3 linked regions of the Pelodiscus sinensis genome follow. The protein of the gene in region 3 purifies or fractionates together with the protein of the main gene of each other region. This does not show direct contact. Links are inferred from orthologs where the notes say so. Each region holds a gene or a part of one and is shown on either strand. Other genes may lie near its edges.

Region 1 (6,937 bases), on a different chromosome or scaffold from region 3:
GAAGTCAGAGAGAGCCGGACTTTTCTGTGGTGGGTGGATATAAGAAAGAAGTCTTTGTTGGTGTGCCAGTCATGTCTCTGAGATCAACAGAATTTGTTGTTGGAAGAGCAGGTGCAGCTTTATTTGCTTCAGTGGAATAGTACCAGTTTATGCCAGCTGACTAGCTTTTGGGTTCCCTTGTCTGGATAGAGCTTAAATAGTTCCTGCTCTTCTTGTTGGATCAATAAATAACTAGCAGCAGACTAGCTTGCTGTGTCCTTCGGACCCATTACTCCTTGGAAACCACATCTGCGGCAGAAGTAGGGACAAGCTAAAAAATAAAGTCCATGTTTTCTTTTAACTCCGACACACGGTGGTTTGACTTCATGCAGCTGCCTGATCAGCATTACACAGAGAAGAAGCCTGATTTCAAGCAAAGTTGAGTCTTTACTCGGTCTGGCTCAGAGGGAGCTCCGGTGAGGAAATGGGAACAAAAATATAAGACTTCATAAAGCAGCTAGATTCCATGAATAAAACCAGACAATGAGTATCAATAGTGGGTTTTTTTCTAGTATAGGAAGTTCCTGGTCTTCCTGAAGAGATGATTGGGTAGCTTCTGGGCAGTGGCACAAATATGTTTGCATGACTATTTAAAGGAATGCAAGAGTTTAATACCCCCTGTGCACTGGGAAGCATAAGGGCATGATTTTCAGCAGGCTGAGATGTGCAAATTCATTATGCTTTTACTTTGGTTTCAGCATACAAACATAAAGATGCTTCGTGCTGGGAGCTCAGGCCCTCTGTGGACAGGGGCTGCCAACACCCTTTGGTGCTACCTCTGATGCAGTGTCAACAGTGCAGAGAGGCAGGTGGGAGCTGTTTTTTAAACCAGCTCTCTGCATAGACCAGTTTCTGCCTGCTGACCCATGCTGCTGCCTCTGCATTAGAGGCAGCAGCACAGTGTGGCAGGCAGCTTCCCTGCGGGCTCTTCATTTAAAACTCGGACCAGTGTGTTGGGACTGAACCAGCCTGCTGGTGCAAATTTTAAAGGGAGGGAAGGAGAGAGAGAAAGAGAGAGTGTTTGTGTGTTGTGGTTAATTGGGACAGGCAATTGCTTATAGATTAACAATCGGGTAAACAGTTATTCGGCTTAGACACTAACATCCCTACTTGTGGCTTGTGTGGCTCAAGGGGAGTGAAAACACTCATAATAATATCTCTGTGCATTGTGCTTTTTGCAGCTGGAAATGTGGCTTTGAGGGTTCCTCCATCCACACTACTGGAGCAGCTCAGATCAGGAGAAGAAAAGGGATGTGGGGTCAACCTGTTCCAAGAGATCCTGCCAGCCTCTGGTGCTGCACACACTGAGTAGAGGGCTTGCAGAAGCACCTTTGTGGGGCGAGTGGAAAGGGTTAGTGCAGAGAGGAGAAACAAAGAAGAAAAGGACAGAAACGTGCAGCAGTTCATGTTAGCGCGCTCAGCGCCAGACGGACATGTTGGAGACTTCAGGTGCAAGTAACCCTGGTTTGCCTCCCGTTGCAGTCTATTGATAACTGCATTCTGAGACCTCTCTACACTTCCTGCCCCCACATTCTCCACGTGTTTCTGTGCTACTGCAGTTCTACCACATCACCCTGAGGGAGAGTACACGCAGTCAGAACTGCATATATGCTGATGAATGAGACACATTGTGTGTGTGACATGAGAATGGCTATTCTTTCCCCTTCAAAAGTTATTTTCCCTGTATTTGTAGAGTTTCATTCAGTTACAGTTATTTTTGGTTTTATGAGTTTGTAATAAAAGTCTATTTATGAAAACTTAATTCTTTAATTCACATCCTATGGTAGCTGGGCCTGACATTGCACAATAATAGCACTTTGTGTATTTGCAATGTTATATTACCATCTTGCCTCTTGGGCCCAAACCTATGAGCCTTCAGTACCCCAGTTTCACATCCTAAGTTCCCCTCAGTGAGTCTCTTTGAACTGGACTCTTGGGGAAAACTTGCACACCCAAGTGGAGCAATGCACCCCTAAATTCCTTAATCTGGAGTGACTTTCAGACAGTGTTGTAAAAAGCAGAAGGATTTATTAATAGTCAGGAACACAATGAAGAAAGTCCTTGGTAAACAAGGGAACAGAGTTACAGGAAAGTCCATCCGGGTTGGTCCTGAATCCAAAGCTCTCTCTGACCCCTCCTGAGTCCCAGTCTGCTTCCAGGTGCTTCCCTTGCAGTTTGGAAAATTTGTTTTTCCTATAACTTTTATCATGTTTAGCATAAAATATATATTTGATATACCCATCAGAGATGCACTTTTACAGCAGTTCAGAGGGGAGCTGGCATTAAGATATTGGCTTAGAAAAATGATGAATTACTAACTTAAAGTAAATGTTTAGTAAAATAACATTAAGCTCTTTAAGAGCTTATTTGTGGCTCTTGGTCACTTACAAAAGAGGAATATATATTTAAAGATGAGGCAACTGAGGGATTGAAATGTGAAGTCACTTGCACAAGGTTGGGCAGCAGCATGGCGGCAAAAACAGAACACATCTCCCGACTCAGTCCTGTCTTTAACCAGAAGCCCCTCCTTTCTTTTGTCCATTTGCGGAATGAGATCTGGAGTTTCATATTTGTGGAGATTCCATGTGCCTCCAGTTATTTATCTATATAGTGTGTCCAAATTACTAGCCACCGTTAGGTAATATACAATTGTACTTAAAATGAAGAGATGAAGGCAGTGATGCAAAACCATGTGGCTACGTCTAGACTGGCATGATTTTCCGCAAATGCTTTTAACGGAAAAGTTTTTCTGTTAAAAGCATTTGCGGAAAAGAGCATCTAGATTGGCACGGACGCTTTTCTGCAAAAGCACTTTTTGCGGAAAAGCGTTCATGCTAATCTAGACGCAGTTTTGCGCAAGAAAGCCCCGATTGCCATTTGCGCCATTGGGGCTTTTTTGCGCAAAACAGCTTTTAGCTGTCTACACTGGCCCTCTTGTGCAAAAATGTTTCTGGAAAAGGGCTTTTGCCCGAACGGGAACGTCAAAGCATTTGCACAAGAAGCACTGATTTCGGACAGTAGAACGTCAGTGCTTTTGTGCAAAATCAAGCAGCCGGTGTAGACAATTGGCAAGTTTTTCCGCAAAAGCAGTTGCTTTTGCGGAAAAACTTGCCAGTCTAGATGCAGCCTGAATGTATGGCATCTGCGGTAAGGTAGTGCTGCCTAGTTTACATTTCATTTTCCATAGTAAAATGACTTTTAAAAATGAAAAGTGAGGACTGCATCTGAGTAGCCCTAATTGTACCTTTATGAAGTTTTTGGTTACTTTGTTCATGAAGGGACTTGGCAGAATTTGTTTTTATTACAATAAATTTTGACACATGTTTAATTAAGGCAATTTTTTAGATTCTTACCTATTTAAGTTTTAAGTTAAAGGAAATTATGGGAGGGGGTCAGACAGTTATTTAATGACAGACACATTTATAAAGCACTTTGCCTTGTAAACACACGCTGTCCAAACTATAACAAGTACCCTTAAATGGCGTGGCATGTTCCTGAGTTGCTGCTTCTCTGTAATCTGGGGCTGTAACTGATGCAGATGTTTTTTCCAGCTGTGGGGAAGCTGACAGGCTCTGATACAAATCAAGTCCTACCAAGCCTACCCGGGGGGAGGAATGGGTGGCGCTGCCCCCCCCCGCAAAGCTCCCGCAGAGCTCTGCTCCAGGCGCCACGCGCAGGGCACGTGCTGCAACACATCCCCGCCCCTGCAGGGAGGTGAGGCCGAGGGGCGTGGCTCAGCCGGGGAGGCGTGGCTTGATCTGCATGCGGACCGCGCGCTCCCTCGTCGCTGTCGGGTGGGCGGGGCCACGGGCTCCCGCACGCGCCTCGGCCGTTGGCGAGGAGGAGGGGCGGGAAGCGCGAGCGACGCCGTTCCCCGCCCCCGCCCGGCGGGAAGTGACGCGCGCGCTGGTTTCCGGGCGAGCGGCCGGGGCCCGGGCGAGGCATGGAGCGGCCCCCGGTGGGCGCGGCGCTGCGGGGGCAGCCCGCGGGCAGCTGCGGCCCCTGGGAGATGCGGGAGCGGCTGGGGACGGGCGGCTTCGGCAACGTCTGTCTCTACCAGCACCAGGTGCGGGGGGGCGGCGCCGACCCCTCCCCCCCGGGTTCGCCCTGTCAGTCGCCCCGCCCCCCCGGGAGCCCGGCCCGTCGCTGCCGGGTCACCCCGCAAAGCCTGCTGGGTAACCCCTCCCCCCCCCCGCTCACTCTCCTCCCAGGGGCTCCTGCCCCCGCACCGCCACCCGTGTGCAGCGGGGGGGGGGATCTGTGTGGAGGGGGGGTATTTGGGGCTGGTCACTGGGATCAGGCTAATGGATTGACCCCCCCCTTAACCCCCCCTTGGCCCCCTCCCGTCCCCCAGCTTTCTGGCCCGACACTGACCCCCCCGCACCGTGCCCTTCTGCTCCAGCCTCTTGCAACCCGGCTGGGGCCGCAGCACCTGTGACTGTTTGTGTTGCAGGAGCGGGGTGACAAGATCGCCATCAAATCTTGCCGGTTGGAACTCAGCACCAAAAACAAAGACCGGTGGTGCCATGAAATCCAGATAATGAAGAAGTAAGTAGGTTGCATCATGGCCTTGTCTTTTGCTTTTGGGAGGCAGTGTTCTCAGATCCACGGGGGAGCGTTTCCCCTTCAGAGATGTCACTAGCTACAGACTTCTTTCGGTCTTATTCACTCTCAAGCTTCAGGGGGTAGCCGAGTTAGTCTGTACAGGGGAAACTTAAAAAACAACAAATAGTCTGGTAGCACTTTAAAGACTAACAAAACATGTAGGTGGTGGTGTGATGCCATCTACATGTTTTGTTAAACTGCAACCAGACTATTTGTTGTTCTAAAGAAGGTTATCGTTAGCCTCCAGGGAAAGAGCTGTATTTTAAAAACAGTTTTACACTGATACCATAAAGGGAAAACACTGTAATTATGATACATTTAAAAAGCTCTTCTTTTCGTGGTCTTGCAGTTTGATGGGAAAACTACGCTTGGCAGTGAGGTGTGTCTGTTTGCTCTTGGCACAGAAGTGAACATTGTGAGACGGGTTCATAGAAATACTTTTGGCGGTTTTGCATTTTGATTACTTTAATATCAGAGAGAACATTGAGAGGTGACTTGATCAATGCATCTAGGCACTAATAAACACAAAAGGGAGCTCAAAATGGATTTTTTTTAAACCTGGTAAACAGAGAATGGGGTCTTAGAGCTGGAAGCTGAAATTGGACAAATTCAATCCTGAAACGAGACAAGGTTTCCTAGCATTGGAACAGTTTACTTGAGAAGTGGGGCAACTACCATTGTTTGGAGTCTTAAAAAAATCTTGTCGTACTGACTGCCAGATTTGGGGTCAGGGAGGATGGTATGGGGTATGGTTCACTTTCAGGGGTCATATGGCCATGGCTAACTTAATCAGTAGAGCCCTGTGGGGATACAAATATCTGTCTGTGGATGCACATATCTGCTGATCAACATTGGCATATGTTGACCTGTAGAGCTCTACTCCCAAGAGGCACTGTAACCAAAGAGAGGAGCATGGTCATCTTGTCATTCCCAGAAGCCAGTGACAACAACTCCTTCCTGCCATGTGGCTGTACTGTCTCCAGTACCACCCCTAGCGGGGCTGTAGGACCTCAGACAGAAGATGGCAGGGTTGGGGGAGGGGGCGTACAATCACACTGCTGAGACGAGCTGCTGGCGCAGGGCACTGGCTCCTAGGAGCAATGGGACCATGGAATCATAGAATACTAGAACTGGAAGGGACCTTGAGAGGTCATCGAGTCCAGTCTCCTGCCCTCACAGCAGGACCAAGCCCAATCTAGATCATCCCTGATAGTCTATCTAACCTTCTCTTAAATATCTCCAGTGATGGAGATTCCACAGTCTCCCTAGGCAGTTTATTCCACTGTTTAATCACCATGTTCTTCTCCTTTAGTCACACTGCCTCTTGACAGTAGAGCCCTTCAGGTCAGCAGATACTGATGTCTATCCGCAGATATCTGCATCTGTGGAAACATTTGTGTAGGCATAGGGCTCTACTAATCAATTTCATGCTGTTGAAGGGGCCTCCTGCATTTGTGCCACCTCCATCTCTCCCATCTGCTTGTGGGTCACAACAGTTTAGTTGAACCCAAGTCATTGGACTAAATATAAAGGTAACGAGGTGAAACTTAATGGCCTGAATTTGAGGCTACGATTGTCATGGAGGTCACAAAATCTGACTTTTTTGTGACCAGTGACATTTTTTCATTTCAGCCCTTGGCAGCAGGGGACCTTCCCAGTTCCTAGCTTTAGTTTAGCTCTAGTTCATATGTTAGTTTCATCCAGGATGGAATATTCTTTACTGCTGGGATTTGAACCCAAAACTCTTGTCCCACTCCAATCCTTAGCCTGAAGATTCTTTCGACTCATCCATGATCTGCCTATTCTTAGAAAATCTGAATTCTGTTTATTGCCCCTGGGTAACTTACTGGAGTAAACTTGTTGACAATTATGTGCTGGCCATCATGCTTCTAACATTAAATGTTTTGGGAAAAGAAATCTTAGGCTACACAGCAGCATTATTTTTGAATAATGCAGAGCACTTCTACACAGGAAGTCCGTTATTTTGAAATAAAATCGAAATAATAGGCTTCTTACTCCGACTTTGATAAACCTCATTGTATGAGGAGTAAAGGAGGTCGGGGAAGAGTGCTCTATTTCAAAATAACTGCTGTGTAGACAGCACTAAAAGTCGAAATAAGCTATTTCAACTTAAGCTACTCAATTAGCAAAGCTCAAGTTGTCGTTTATTTCGAGTTTAGCACTGCTGTGTAGATGTGCCCTCTCTGTCTTCACATTTGAAACACATTTTATTGATTCATCTGCTTGTTGATCTTCTGAAATACCTGTATCAAGATTTTCGTCATGCTTTCCA
Region 2 (7,743 bases), on a different chromosome or scaffold from region 3:
AGATTTGCTCCCCGCCTCCCTCTGGGAGCAAGGAGTAAGTTTGGTATGGGGCAGAGAAAGATCTGGGCAGGGCTAATCTGAAACGGCTCCTGAAAGCAGCAGCCCATTCCTCCTCCAGCTCTGCCCCCACAGCTCCCAGGGCACAGGACCCACAGCCAATAGGAGCTGGAGCTTGTGGTGGGGAGGTGTGTGGAGACCCACAGCAGGGCAAGCCCTTGAAAGCCAGAGGAAAAGGTCAAAGGGGCAGGATGCAGCCTAAAATTTGCCCATCCCTGTTCTAGACCATCCTTGCAGGCATTTGTCTGACATGCTCCACAACGTCTCTGGGCAATTGATTACAGTGCCACTCTGACCGTTTTCCCTCATGTCCAACCTAACCCTGCCGATCTGCAGTTTAAGCACATTGGTTCTTGTCCCAGACGCAGAGGCCAATTCTCCCCTCCTCCTTGCAACAGCCTGTCATGTCCCCTCTATCTCCTCTACAAAGTAAACAAGCCCAGGGTCAGCCTTCCCTCAACAGGCTGGATCCCGGCTGCTGCTCTGCACCATCTCCAATGTCGCCATATCTTTCCCGAAATGGGGTCTTTTTGACAAGACTCCTGGATGGCATTGCAAATACCCTGGCCCACAGCGCCCACTCAAGGGGCCAAGCCTCCCACACGAGTCTCGCTGGGCTGGATTCCCTGCAGGGAGCCATGAAGAGGGACTGTGGTGACTGGCACCTGCAGGCCCAGCCTCGGAGGCCAGAGGCCTCCCCTGCAATGGTGCTTGGGCCCAGTCCCAGGCAAAAGGCAACTTCCCAAGAAAGAGGTGCAGGCTAGGTCATAGACCGGACTCTGAACCTGTCAGCTGCCTCCCCCTGCCCCCCCCCCCCCCCCGAGCATGACCAGCAGGGAGCAGCACCTACTTTCCCATACACACACACACACAGGGAGCAGCCACAGCCCCTGCTCCTCCCCCCCCCCACACACACGGAGCAGCCACAGCCCCCGCTCCTTCCCCCCCCCACACACACGGAGCAGCCACAGCCCCCGCTCCCCCCCCCACACACACAGCAGTTCCAGTGCCCACTTCCCACCACCCACACACACACACACACACACACACACACACACACTAGCTCCAGCGCCCACTCCCCGCCATAAAAACACAGGAAGCAGTTCCAGCACCCACCCTCATACACACACAGGGAGCAACCACAGTGCCCCACCTCCCTACACACAGCACAGCTCCAGCACCCACTCCCCCCATACACACACAGAGGAGCTGCCCCACTCCCCCCCCAATGCGCACACAGGGAGCAACAGCAGCGCCTCACCCCATACAAACACAGAGAGCAACTGTAGCACCCCACCTCTCCCCATCCACACACACACACACACACACACACACACACGGAGCAACAGCAGCGCCTCACCCCATACAAACACAGAGAGCAACTGTAGCACCCCACCCCTCCCTATACACACACACACACACACACACACACACACAGGGAGCAACTGCAGCACACCCACCCCCATACACACAAACACACAGGGTGCAGATAACAGCTGTAGCACAGCACTCCCCCTCCACAGGGAACAGGGGGGACGGATAACTCAGTGGTTTGAGCATTGGCCTGCTAAACCCACCGTTGTGAGTTCAATCCTTGAAGGGGCCATTTAGGGTTGGAATGTGGGAGGTGGCTCTAGGCTGATGCAGGGGGTTGGGGTGTGGGAGAGAGCACAGGCTCTGGGGCTGGGACCCAGGGGTTCAGAGAGCAGGAGGGGAATCAGGGCTGGGGTGGAGTGGGGCTCAGGGTAAAGATTTACAAGCAGCTCCCAGAAGCAGTGGCAAGTCCCTCCTGTGGCTCCTATGCTGAGGTGCTGGCAGGAGGTTTGCGCTGCACCCACAGCCCCCACTGACTGAGGATCCTGGCCAAAAGGAGCTGCAGGGTTGACGCTTGGGGTGGGCGCAGCATATGGAGCCTCCTGACTGCCTGGAGGTGCTTCCTGGGAGGCTGCCCGAGCCCCACTGGACCCACGACTGGGCAGTATGGCTTGGTCAGCCAAGCAACATGCTGCAGCCCAGGTCCAGGTTGCAGGGAACTGGGCCCCAGCCACCCCTTTCAGTGCTGTACCAGTCCAGGGTACTCATTCATCCTCACCTTTCAGATCCTGGTTTTCCAGCAGGAAGCGCTGCAGGGCCTCATGCCCGGCCAGCTCAGGGGGTAGTTGCCAAGCCGCCACCTTGCCAAGGGATGAGTCCTCACCAAGAGCACTGCAGTCACTGCCTGGGCACCCGCCTGGCTGCACCATCTCACAACTCCGCCGTTGCCGGGTCCCGTTCATCCAGTCTAGCCTGTGAAGAGACATGGCACTATGAGACCTGGGAAACGGAGGGTCCCTGGGCTGGGGAAGGGGGGGGACTGATGCCCTGTCACGAACTGGTGCATCTGAACTTCACCAGCTAAAGTGACCCTACTCAGTTTGGTCTTGAAGGGAACAGAAAAGTGACAAAGCAGAGGATTGTATTCCCCTTGTAAGAGTGCACGTGAGTTCTACCATCCTGTGGTAACCCTGTGTGTGTGTGCCTCAGTTTCCCTGGGCTCTGCACCAATCCCTGGATGGGGATTTCAGGGTGACAACCTCCCTCATGTACACACTGGCTGTGATCCTTCGTACCCCGAGCCGGCACGGGGAGGGCATGGCACCTTTAGCCTGGAAAGCAGGGCAAAGGCCGGAGGAGGAGCTAGGACCAGGCTGCTGCGTGGGTTCGGGGGTTGGGAGGGGGCGGGGCCCTGGCCTGGGCTGTCCTGGCTGATCCTGGTGCCGGTGCTCCCACCGGCTGAGCCCTACGCCTGGCGGGCGGGGGCGGGGGCGGGGCCGGAAATCCCCAACCTCGGCGACAGGAGAACTCGGACGCCTGGATCGCGGTTCGGATACTCGTCGCCCCCGGCTGCCACTTCCCTTTTCCGGGATCGCGGCCTTGTCTCCCCCGGAAGTGCTTCCCCGGGACCCGGAAGCGGAAGAGACGTTCGTAGCCTAGAATGGCGGGGATTGGCCTGGGCAGGGATGGGGAGCCGGGCGGGGATTGGCAGGGGCGGGGATAGGGAGCCGGGCGGGGATTGGCCTGGGCAGGGATGGGGAGCCGGGCGGGGATAGGGAGCCGGCGGGGATTGGCAGGGGAGGGGCGGGGATGGGGAGCCGGCGGGGATTGGCAGGGGAGGGGCGGGGATGGGGAGCCGGCGGGGATTGGCAGGGGCGGGGAGGGGCGGGGATGGGGAGCCGGCGGGGATTGGCAGGGGCGGGGAGGGGCGGGGATTGGCAGGGGCGGGGCGGGGATGGGGAGCCGGGCGGGGATTGGCAGGGGCGGGGCGGGGATGGGGAGCCGGGCGGGGATTGGCAGGGGCGGGGCGGGGATGGGGAGCCGGGCGGGGATTGGCAGGGGCGGGGCGGGGCGGGGATGGGGAGCCGGGCGGGGATTGGCAGGGGCGGGGCGGGGATGGGGAGCCGGGCGAGCGTTGGGCCGCCGGCGGAGCGCGATCCAGACGTGGGGAGCGGTGGGGGAGCGCGGAGCGGTGAGGGCCGGGCTCGGGTAGGGGGCATGGTGTTGGGGGGCTGAGCTGGGGGGCCGGGCTCGGGTAGGGGGCATGGTGTTGGGGGGCTGAGCCGGGGGGCACTGGGGGGCCGGGCTCGGGTAGGGGGCATGGTGTTGGGGGGCTGAGCCGGGGGGCACTGGGGGGCCGGCCTCGGGTAGGGGGCACGGTGTTGGGGGGCTGAGCCGGGGGGTACTGGGGGGCCGGGCTCGGGTAGGGGGCACGGTGTTGGGGGGCTGTGCCGGGGGGCACTGGGGGGCTGGGCTCGGGTAGGGGGCACGGTGTTGGGGGGCTGAGCCGGGGGGCACTGGGGGGCCGGGCTCGGGTAGGGGGCACGGTGTTGGGGGGCTGAGCCGGGGGGCACTGGGGGGCTGGGCTCGGGTAGGGGGCACGGTGTTGGGGGGCTGAGCCGGGGGGCACTGGGGGGCCGGGCTCGGGTAGGGGGCACGGTGTTGGGGGGCTGAGCCGGGGGGCACTGGGGGGCCGGGCTCGGGTAGGGGGCACGGTGTTGGGGGGCTGAGCCGGGGGGCACTGGGGGGCCGGGCTCGGGTTGGGGGCACGGTGTTGGGGGGCTGTGCCGGGGGGCACTGGGGGGCTGGGCTCGGGTAGGGGGCACGGTGTTGGGGGGCTGAGCCGGGGGGCACTGGGGGGCCGGGCTCGGGTTGGGGGCACGGTGTTGGGGGGCTGTGCCGGGGGGCACTGGGGGGCTGGGCTCGGGTAGGGGGCACGGTGTTGGGGGGCTGTGCCGGGGGGCACTGGGGGGCCGGGCTCGGGTAGGGGGCACGGTGTTGGGGGGCTGTGCCGGGGGGAACTGGGGGGCCGGGCTCGGGAAGGGGGCACGGTGTTGGGGGGCTGTGCCGGGGGGCACTGGGGGGCCGGGCTCGGGTAGGGGGCATGGTGTTGGGGGGCTGTGCCGGGGGGAACTGGGGGGCCGTGCTCGGGTAGGGGGCATGGTGTTGGGGGTCTGAGCCGGGGGGCACTGGGGGTCTGAACCGGGGGGCACTGGGGGGCCGGGCTCGAGTAGGGGGCATGGTGTTGGGGGGCTGTGCCGGGGGGCACTAGGGGGCCGGGCTCGGGTAGGGGGCACGGTGTTGGGGGGCTGTGCCGGGGGGCACTGGGGGGCCGGGCTCGGGTAGGGGGCACGGTGTTGGGGGGCTGAGCTGGGGGACCGGGCTCGGGTAGGGGACATGGTGTTGGGGGGCTGAGCTGGGGGGCCGGGCTCGGGTAGGGGGCATGGTGTTGGGGGGCTGTGCCGGGGAGCCGGGGGGCACTGGGGGGCCGGGCTCGGGTAGGGGGCATGGTGTTGGGGGGCCGGGCTCGGGTAGGGGGCATGGTGTTGGGGGGCTGTGCTGGGCGGTTGGGGGACCCCGGGGGGCTGTGCTGGGGGCATTGGGGGGCTGTCCTGGGGGAGGGGCCCCTGGGGGGAAAAAGCCAGACTGCTCAGGGCCTCATGGGACCCAGAAGTGACAAACCTCCAACCCCCTGGTCCCACCCGGGGCTTCTCTTCACCCCCACCTGCTGCCGCCCCATTTTCCCCCATCCTCGCTCAGGGCCACTCTTCCCCCACAATCCCATTTCCCTTCCCCCACCATGGGGCTCTGCCCTGCTGTTGGCCAAGCAGAGACTTGTCCCTGGCTGCCTGGGGCTGGGGAGGGAGCCCAGCCTGGGTCAGCCCTCTGAGGCAGGCGGTTCACATGGTCTCTCTGCTCTAGGGAGCAGCCGTGCCAGCACCATGGCCTTTCCACAGGAGCTGAGTCGCTCACAGGTGTGCGGGATGATGCGGGAAGAGCTGTGCCAGGACCAGGACTTCTTGCGGTCTGACACCCACATCTTCATCATCCTCGGGGCCTCGGTGAGTCCCCAGTCAGCCAGGCCATGCCCCATGTGGGGTGCCTGAGCTGGGCCGTTCCTCTTGCACCCTGCTTTGTGGACAGGCAATGCTGTGGGGGAACAGGGAGTTCCCTGCAGGACCCTGCACTTGGTGAGGGGATGGCTAAACTAATCTTCCCCACAGCTCTGCTCAGCTGCCAGATTCCCCTGAGCTCCTGCCTCCCGTGGGCTCTGCGGCTCATGCCTCCAGGGCGAGGCAGGAGTTGTACCAGGGGCGATACTGAGCACTGGGAGCTGCAGCCGAGCCATCCCAGCTACCATGACTGGGCAGAGTGACTTAACTTCCTGCCTGGTGTTGTGTAACCTGGGCGGGCAGCACTTGCCTCCAGTGGGGGCGGGGGGCCACTAATCCCTGATGGGTTGAGCTATGTGCCCTGTCATGGGGCCACCCAAGGCCTGGGATGGTGCTGGTGCTTGCCATGGGATGGAGTGAGGTCAAGCCCTGGCTTGGCCAACCCTTCGTTTATATTCCGTGAGCAGTAGTGAGATTTCAGCAAGCAGAGGTGTGTGATTGACACCGTCTTGTTGCTCCCAAATCCACCCACTACTCTGAATTTGCCCTGACACCCCAGAAGCCTCCCAAACTGCCTCTCACCATAGTCATCCCTTAGGCCCTGGAAACCACCCCGGTGCCCCTCAAACTCACAGAAACTGCCTCAGTTCCCTCCCCAGAACTTCAGCATAACCCTTTTCTACCCTGCTTCCGGTTGCCTGCCTGCTCTGAGGGGTCGCAACATGTCCCTCCCGTTGTGGGATCTGTTGCATTTGGACAAAGGGAAGTGCTGGGCACTGCTGAGCAGCTGTGCCCATGGGGAACCACAAGATAAGCAACGTGGGGGTGGTCAGAGGAGACCACGGCTGCTGGAGCCACTCCCATGCTGGGGGTGGCTGGGCAGTGTCCTTGTGGTGGGGGTGGCATGTGGAAGCCCCCTGCTCACCCTAGCTCCCTGTAGCTGAGGAGAGTAATACACACAAACACACCTTTGCTAGCTTCGCTCACCCACCCTGAGACATCTACTTCAATGTGCTTGTGTCTCAGGCCAAAGACTCCCCCACTTGGCCCCGGGTTCCCCAGGCAGGCGGCCAGCAGAGTAGGCAGCAAGAGGCGGAGAAGCCCTGATTTTGCTTGAGTTGCTGCCGCTGTCTGCACGCCCCACAGGTGCATTACTGCTGGTCTCAATTTCTGGGGCTTTGGTTCCCACTCTCTCCACCTTTCTCCACAGCACAGGAACCCATCTCCCCTTGACATGCTGGTCTGATGCAGCCTTCTGAGGCTTTCTGTGCATTTTCCTCCAGCCTGGGAGTAACTTTTCTGGCTCCTTTCTCCTCTCCATCCTTTCCACTTTTCTCCCAGCCTTTATGAAAGGCAGCTACCCAAGTTGGGTGCAATTCCCCATCTCTCATGATGTTTGGTTGGGTGGCACAGCTCCCTCCCTGTTCTGCTCCTGGCTGCCCTGGTGATACACCCCACAAGCCTCTTTGGCCCCATCCCAGGTCTAGGATGCCACTAAGTCCCCTAGAGCCTTCTTAGAGTCCCCGGCTCTCTGGAGCACAGCCCCAGGCAGTTGGTGTTCCTTGCTCCTAGCAGTCCCCCACACATCTCCTGGCAGGGCCAGACACCCCAGGCACTCCCCCAACCCTGCCTGCAACAGAGCAGGAGAGTGGGGAAACTGAGGCACAGCGATTCAGTGGCTAGGCTCAGGTCACACAGGGCGACTGACCCCAGAAGCCAGCTCCCTGTTTAAATATAGGGGTTGTCCCAGCTCCACGTGACTTGGGTTCACCTCAAGTTGGCAGAGCTGAGGCAGAGAATCCTGGGTAGGCACTGGGCCCTGTGAGCTGTGATGGGAGCTGCTGCGGTCTCTCTGCAGGCCTGTCAGGGACAGCACAGGCTGGATGCCTGGCACCTGCTCCCCCTCCCCCAGCAGAGGGAGGGAGGAAGGAGAAAGCCGCTTATCAGCGTTTGTGATAGATAAGGAGCTTCCTGGGCTTAGGCAGAAGGCCAGTGGCCTGGACCTGGCTGTGGGAGGCAGGGCAAAGAGCTGAGGAGAAGATGGCGTATCCCTTTGGGCCAGGGAGTGGCAAACACAAATGTCCCTGTATCTGTGGGCATGGCTCATTTTCCCTGCTCAGCCATTCCCTGGCCTGCAGCAGACTGTGTGGTGTGTCCCCAGGCTGGTATGGGCTTGTTGGGCAGTTCCCCCCCCTTACCATGCAGCGTGGGGCTGGCACATCCCTGTAGTGTGTGTCGTATCCCTGGGCTGGTTTGAGCT
Region 3 (7,238 bases):
CCCTGCCTTAACATGCCCTAATCAGTTTACCCAATGGCTACATCTAGATTGCATCCCTTTTTCATAAAAGGGATGCAAATTAGACGTATCGCAATTGCTAATGAAGCGGGGATTTAAATCTCCCCCGCTTTATTAGCATAAAAATGGCTGCCGCTTTTTTCCAGCTCGTGGCTTTGCCGGAAAAAAGCGCCAGTCTAGACGGGGATCTTTCGGAAAATAAAGCCTTTTCCGAAAGATCCCTTATTCCTTTTTTTAAGAGGAATAAGGGATCTTTTGGAAAAGGCTTTATTTTCCGAAAGATCCCCGTCTAGACTGGCGCTTTTTTCCGGCAAAGCTCCGAGCTGGAAAAAAGCGGCAGCGATGTTTATGCAAACGAAGTGGGGGGGATTTAAATTCCCACTTCATTTGCAATTGCGATGTGTCTAATTTGCATCCCTTTTACGGAAAAGGGATTCATTCTAGACACAGCCCATGTGTGTATCTACCAATAGCACAGGCCATTCCTTCCTGCTAATCATGAAATCTACGTCTACACTGGTAGCTTCTTGCGCAATAACTCTTTTGCGGAAGAGTTCTTGTGGAAAAACTCTTCCACAAGAGAGCATCTAAACTGGCATGTGCTTTTGCACAAGAGATGTGCTTTTGCGCAAGAGCATCCATGGCAGTGGAGACGCTCTCTTCCGCAAGAAAGCTCTGATGGCCATTTTAACCATAGGGCTTCTTGCGCAAGAAATTCATGTTGCTTGTCTACACTGGCCTCTTCTGGATGAACTCTTGCCCAAGAGGGCTTCTTCCTGAGAGCGAGCGTCAGAGTTCTCGTGCAAGAAGCCCTGATTTTCTACAGTACAGCATCAGTTTACTTGAGCAAGAACGCACGGTCAGTGTAGACAGGTGGCATATTTTTGCGCAAGAGTGGCCGTCTTCGCGCAAAAATGCGCCAGTGTAGACACAGCTGAAGAGTGGCTGGCAGGGTGAAACAGAAGCATGCAGATCTTATAAGCAAAAGATTATATAGGACTTAATACCTTCATTATACTTATTATACTTTTATACAAACACTAAAATACTACATTTTGGCTACACGCTCACCTGAATATTGGGACAAATGGTGTCCTAATCAAAAATTGGTTGGGACAAAGAGCTAAATATTGTGACAGTTCTGATTTTATCAAAATACAGGCCTCCCAAATCATGGATCCTGGAGTGGTTGCTCTGATTTACTGTACCCAAGGGATGGCCTTGGCTCTAGATGGACATGTAGCCTTAGTTTAAAACCACTGCTCTAGGGAATCCTTTGAAATCCGCATGGATCTCGGGACATCTGTTGGTTCGGGAAGCTGAAATCTAGGATCAGTAGGGGTAAAGCTGAGGTGGATAGAAATAATTGATTTTAAAAAATGGATTTTTTAATTTGTCGGATTTTTTTTATAAAATGCTTTTTGAGGAAAAAAAGATAGCTCAAAGATATCATGGAATAAGGATGATAAATTCTAATGTATGTAATGTTTAAGAAAAGTTATGTAAATGAGTTTCAATATGTCATGGATTAGGGACCCCATCTTATGGGGTTCCAGAGGTTTCTGTATAGATTATTTAGGATAGTTTTTCTATTTACCCAATGGGACTGAGTGCTCAGTCTAGAAAATACCATGAGAGATGCTTAGTTTTGCAGTTCTCAAATTGTGGTTTTGTGTCTCTAGAGCTAGCATGCTTGTTAATAACAAAAATGTTTTAAAACAAATAAATAATATATTTAGGTGAGAAATAACTGACCTCAACCCTATTGCCCCTCTGCAAATTTGTGTACACAGAGTGCCCTTACCTCTCTCTAAAAGTGCAACGTTTCAAAGAGTTACATGAATAGAAACCAGTATTTGACGTTTCTCATGTTGACCTGCCTGACATTAATTTAATTTTCAGTTTAAAATTATATTTCATTTAACTATTTCATTTAAAACCAATTTTAACAAAAACAAACTTGATTTAAAAAAACTTGAATGTTTAACTAAATTCAAAAAAGCATATACCTGTTTTGTTAAAATATTATATATTTGCTGTTGAAGAAAAAAATCCAGAATACATAGTATTGTTTTAGTTAATTAAAACAATTTAAATGTCTGTCTCGTGATGTTCTCCTCCTAATATAGCATAGCAAGAAAATCCACCAAATATGAATGATTAACCTGTTGAATTGGAGATAGTTCACCACCCAATGACTTAATAAATATCTGCTTCAATTACTTTTTGGTAAATGAAATAATCAAACAATCATTCATGTTCTGACATAACTTTAAAAGTACATTAAGAAATTTAATCTGAAATTTTTCAAAATAAATCACTATTTAAAAATGTATAGTGTGTACTTTCTAAAAATGAAACCTACATCTATCTTTGAATTGTGAAGAATATGTATTAAGGTAATGTTGGGGTCATGACAACTAACAAGAATGCACTTTTATGAAGAAAACTGTGATTAAATCAGTCTTCTTTAACTAGTGATTTAAATCATGATTTAAATCAATTTGATTTATATCAAATCCACCCTGGGTAAAGCTCATCCACTAACATAATGACATGAGAAAAACTTGGCAATTTTTTTCTTAATTAGGGTGTGACTTCATTCTTCACATGAGTACATTAGATTTTTTTTCCTGGGAAACAATCCTGTATGGCCATGTTAAAAAAAGTAGGTAAGCTAGACAAGACTGAACGAGCCTTTTCCATCTCTACTGCCAGAGCTGAGTGCAATCTGGGAAGAGCTTACCCTGCTTTTTCCTTCCGGCTGAGCATATCGTAAACCTGGGGACAAAGAAGGTGTGATCACATATTTGGGTAAAGGAGGGAACTTTTGTACAAGGGCCTTGTCTTAACTTATGAAGGGAAGAGACAACACTTAAATAAGGGAGTACTTTATCAGTTAGCCATATAAACCATGCTGTGTTCATATTCTTTTTTAACCATGGGCTTTTATTACTCTCTTTTAGTTTAGAGAGACAAGGTGGTTTAATTAATATCTTTGATTGGACCAACTTCTGTTGGGGAGTGAAATAAACTTCCAGCCTTACACAGAGCTCTTCTTTGTATCATTTTGTTCATTCTCTTAAATCACATTAAATAAAGCAGGAGTCATCTGATGTTATTGTAAGCACAGAAACCCTGTTTCATGATTAGCCATTTTTGCACAGCCTAACCAAATTGTTTAGACAGATAGTGAAGAGATAGTTACCAATTTTCTCTAGTTTCTGTTTTTTAAATATAGCCATAGGTAGTTCCAGATCAAAAAATATATTAAAAGATTATTGCCTAGCAAAGCTCTTGGAAGTTAGTTTAACAGACATAAAGTCTGCCTCCTTGTGTTTTGGTTTTATAATAGTCTTTGATTACTTGGATCTCATGCTAGTTTTTTTTCTGCAGGTCCTGTCTCATTTCTTAATGAAAAACATTAAAATAATTTTCTTGTTTGGATAAATAGCACAAAAGCAACCAAAGTGAACCAGAGTGTGTGCGCCTCAGTATAGTCCAGTGATTCAGGCCTAGTAACTGAGCACTTTGCAGTTCTGTGATCACCAGGGCCGGATTAAGGCATGGGCTAGCTGGGCAGCTGCCCTGGACGCCAACCTATGGGGGGCGCCAGATGGCAGCTGTAAGGGGGCACAAACTGTGGTTTAATGACAGTTAATCCAAAATCTTAAAAGGGTGAAAATAAAAGGAAAACGTCAGCATTTATTGTTGTGTTCACATTGTGTTCAAACAAATGTTGCAAGACTCTTTTATGGAAAGTGCAAAGTAACCTAAGAGTCTAGTCTCTATTACAGTATCTGCAGTGCTTTTTTTGTTTAAAAAAAAGGTGCGGGTACTCCAGGGGACGTTGTTGAGCTCTGACTGTACTGCATACGGGCAGTACCGTCACAAAAAAGCACTGAGTATCTGTATATAAATATATATTTAGATAATATGAAGAGCATCAGTTAGTGGCATATATATGAAGCATTATTCATAGAAAGTTTAATAGAGTTTTACAAAGGGTCAGTAGGGAATTTGAGTGTCTGCTACCCTGAAGGAAGGGTTAAAAACGACTGGGTCTTTGTCCCTTGGGGTTGGTTGTAGTGTGCATGGGGTGAGGGCTGAATGTTTGGTCCTTGTCCTGTGGGTAGGGGAGGGTTAATTCTGTGTGTTGGAAGTAGAGTTACTTGTTGCCCGGCTTCCTCGTCTGCCCCCTCCCCCCTTTCCTGTTGCTTTCTCGCCCTTTGCTGGCAGGAAGTTGCAGAACTTGTTAGTTTCAGTTTGTGTTCGGTCTCTTGGTGCTAGAGCCCCTGGCCTTGGGGGACTTCTCTGGGGGAGAAGGTCCTATCATGGGGACGTAGGAGACCACAAAACCATGGCCCGACGGGAGCCTTCCCCTGCGGTGGTGGCTACGGTGAGTGTCACTTGGGGCCGAGTGTCTAATTCCAATCGTCAGTCCCCAGGCTGGAGGTGCGGGTTAATGCGAGCGCGGGGCTGGGAGTGGTGCGGGCTCTGGCTGCTGACTGGGAGCCAAGTCTCCTGGCTTGTGTAGCTGGGTCTGGTGGGAGGAGAGTGGGAGTTAGGCCCCCTGAGTTTCTGATGTCTCTTCTGGCGAGTCCCTTCCACTCGGCAGGTCTCCTTTCCCCGCTCTGTAGAAATGCTGTTACTGGACTGATATCTGCCTCCTCTTGGGAGCTGCTGTCTCCGCTGGTGCCAGTCCCTAGAACAGTGGTCCCCTATCCCACGCTTTTTCCTTCGTGCCCCCCCTATCCCTGTTTGCCCCCCCCCCCCCCCCGCTGGGACTGGGAGCACAGACCATGGCTCCGGGAAGAGGGCGGGTGCGGCTCCGTAAGGGAGAGGAGGCTGGGGCCAGGAGCGGAGACTTGGCAGGGGACGAACTCAGAGTGGCAGGGCCCCTTCTCGTGGGGCACAGGCATGGCAGCTAAGGCCCCGGGGCCAGGAGTAGAGTTTGGCTGTGCTCCCTTCCTGTCCCACCCCAGCTGGCCTGGGCCTCAGCTGTACCCCCAATGAGGATGCCTCAGGAGGGGATGCAACCCACAACCACATTTCCTGGACCTCTTTGTTGTTGAACTTGATGAGTTCTATAGAGAGACAAGGTTGTTGAGGTAATACTTTTTTCTCTGTTGCTGAGAGACAGATGTGTGAGCCACACAGAGCTCTTCTACCTTTCCTACACCTGAGGAAGAGCTCTGTTCAGCTTGAAAGCTTGTCTTTTTCACCAACATAAACTGGTTATGTAAAAACTGTTATCTCATCCACTTTGTCTCTAATATCCTGGGACCCACGCAGCTACAATAACCTGCACTCACCTGATAAGTGATGGCAGACCTAGAGCTTGCATGTGTGCTGCTGAGGTTCCCTTACTCAAGGGAGAGTGAAGGTTAGCCTACTTGGATTGATGCAACCTGAGGTTGCTTTCTCCCACTATCTTACCACAGGAAGTAACACTTGAACCAGCAATCAAGGCAATTGCTTCTCCTGAAGTTTCCCTGCCACTTCCACACTCCTGCACATCTCTGCTTTCTGCAAATGCCATACTCCTCCAGTCCTCCCACTATCTACTTAGCCAATACTCCACAGTTCCACAAATTTTGATAAAGGATGTTGTGTTGTGATTCCTGTCAGTAATCTCCTGTGTCTCTCCCATTCCCAGGGGCACCATTTAGGGAGGAGGATTCTTGCTCCCTCCCCCACAAGTTTTGCACCATTATAGTTTTCCCAATAGAGAGGTGCTAGGGGAGAGCTTACCTGTGGCTATAGCTATCCTAAAATTTTCCTTAGGCACTCCTCTCAGAGCTGGGCACCCAGCCTGCCACTGTAGCCCTGGTAGTCTTCTTTTCTTTTGGAAGCTGATTCATGGCTTGCATGGAGCCAGGTGAGCTCACCTGATGCTAGAGATAACCATAACCGAGTGGGTCTCTGCTGAGCTGGGATGGGGGAGAGAAAGGGAGCCTGTCTGTGCTGGTGCCTCAGGCTCAGAAGTGGGAGCTGCAGCTACTGCTGTATAATACAAGCATTCAGTCTCCTGAATGAATGGCTTTCAGCTCAGACACACACAGTCTCCCCCTCACCATGCTCCTCAACACCCCCACTCCTATGCTAACACAGTTTCCCACATACACTCCCCCAATGCACGCACACACTTTAACACACTTGTATTATTATTATAATTTTATGTCTTGATATTTCCCGTTGAAATGCACAATGTACATATATTGTCTGTATTTTCTTCTTACAAAATTTGTCAAGGATTTAAGTACTGTTGTTAGTTTTTGACAAGTCTGCGAATTTCATAGTTTTATTTCTCTCATGCTTATTTTTAATTCTTTGAGTAGTGAGTTCTAAAGCTTATAACCTGTCCTGGCTGGAGTCATTATCATCACTTTTATTATCCTATTGTGCTTTGTCATTAATTATTTAAAGTGGCACAGACAAATAATAGTACCCTTCTAGCATGCAAATGTAGCTTGTACTCACCTTAGCAGTGCCAGTTTTTATTTAAAAAAAAAAAGCTAAACACATAGCTTTAGACTCCTTACTGCAGATGAAGATCATTTATTTGCAATCTGCATTTTTAGTTATATCTGGAAAATAACTTAAAATGTGTATGAAAATAAGTGAGGTTCCCAGTCTGATAGTAATGTTAGAGTCAGTGTTAGTGGGTCCCCGGCATAATTGTGATCATTAAACAGAAATGCCAAAATAACTAGAAAAATCAATTTGCATTCTTAAAAGAGGAAAAAAAATTAATCATATGTGCTAAAAATTAAGTACACACCTTTTTAGTGGAGTGAAAAAACAGATGACTAATATAGAGTAAATAATGGCCATAGAGAAAGTAAGCCGATTTTAAGCAGATTTATTTATTTTTATTTATCCCTAAAGATAGTGTACAAAGAATCAAACAGGTGTTTCTGATATCTGTGTTAAGTCTCCAGAACGGATTCTTGAAGTCTTAGGATTGTTTCTGGAGTAGGAGTGGTGTGGGTGAGTCTTGGAGTGTCAAGGAGGCTTTGTGTGGTAGGAAAGTTAAAAGGCAGGTAACTGACTGATAATGTAGTCGATACAATTTGCACTGGCTTCTGTTTCCCTCCACTTGCTGCCTCTCATACAGAAGTGGGTGGGAGGGGAAGCAAGTAATCAATTACTAGACTCTACTATTACAAAACTAAACTTTATTTATTAATCCCAATCACCTGACACTAGTCAGAATC

The links. Proteins that work in one complex are often made in the same cells at the same time.
Region 1: the proteins of TNFRSF1A (region 3) and CHUK purify together in Homo sapiens (affinity purification with western blotting; 3 studies listed by BioGRID, with this or other methods). This does not show direct contact. The link is inferred for Pelodiscus sinensis from reciprocal best matches to the Homo sapiens genes TNFRSF1A and CHUK.
Region 2: the proteins of TNFRSF1A (region 3) and IKBKG purify together in Homo sapiens (affinity purification with western blotting; 4 studies listed by BioGRID, with this or other methods). This does not show direct contact. The link is inferred for Pelodiscus sinensis from reciprocal best matches to the Homo sapiens genes TNFRSF1A and IKBKG.

What each region holds. Positions count from the first base shown.
Region 1 is NC_134718.1:7,059,419-7,066,355, reverse strand, and holds the start of CHUK (inhibitor of nuclear factor kappa-B kinase subunit alpha), read left to right. Parts: upstream 1-3,924; 5' UTR 3,925-3,982; coding exon 3,983-4,105; intron 4,106-4,492; coding exon 4,493-4,587; intron 4,588-6,937.
Region 2 is NW_027465910.1:86,341-94,083, forward strand, and holds the start of IKBKG (NF-kappa-B essential modulator), read right to left. Parts: upstream 3,014-7,743; 5' UTR 2,883-3,013; intron 2,859-2,882; exon of another isoform or gene 2,667-2,858; intron 2,344-2,666; 5' UTR 2,334-2,343; coding exon 2,150-2,333; intron 1-2,149. Other genes in the region: G6PD (glucose-6-phosphate 1-dehydrogenase), read left to right, coding at 3,448-3,562, 5,293-5,432. UniProt on the Homo sapiens protein: Regulatory subunit of the IKK core complex which phosphorylates inhibitors of NF-kappa-B thus leading to the dissociation of the inhibitor/NF-kappa-B complex and ultimately the degradation of the inhibitor.
Region 3 is NC_134711.1:141,515,977-141,523,214, forward strand, and holds the start of TNFRSF1A (tumor necrosis factor receptor superfamily member 1A), read left to right. Parts: upstream 1-4,235; 5' UTR 4,236-4,378; coding exon 4,379-4,417; intron 4,418-7,238.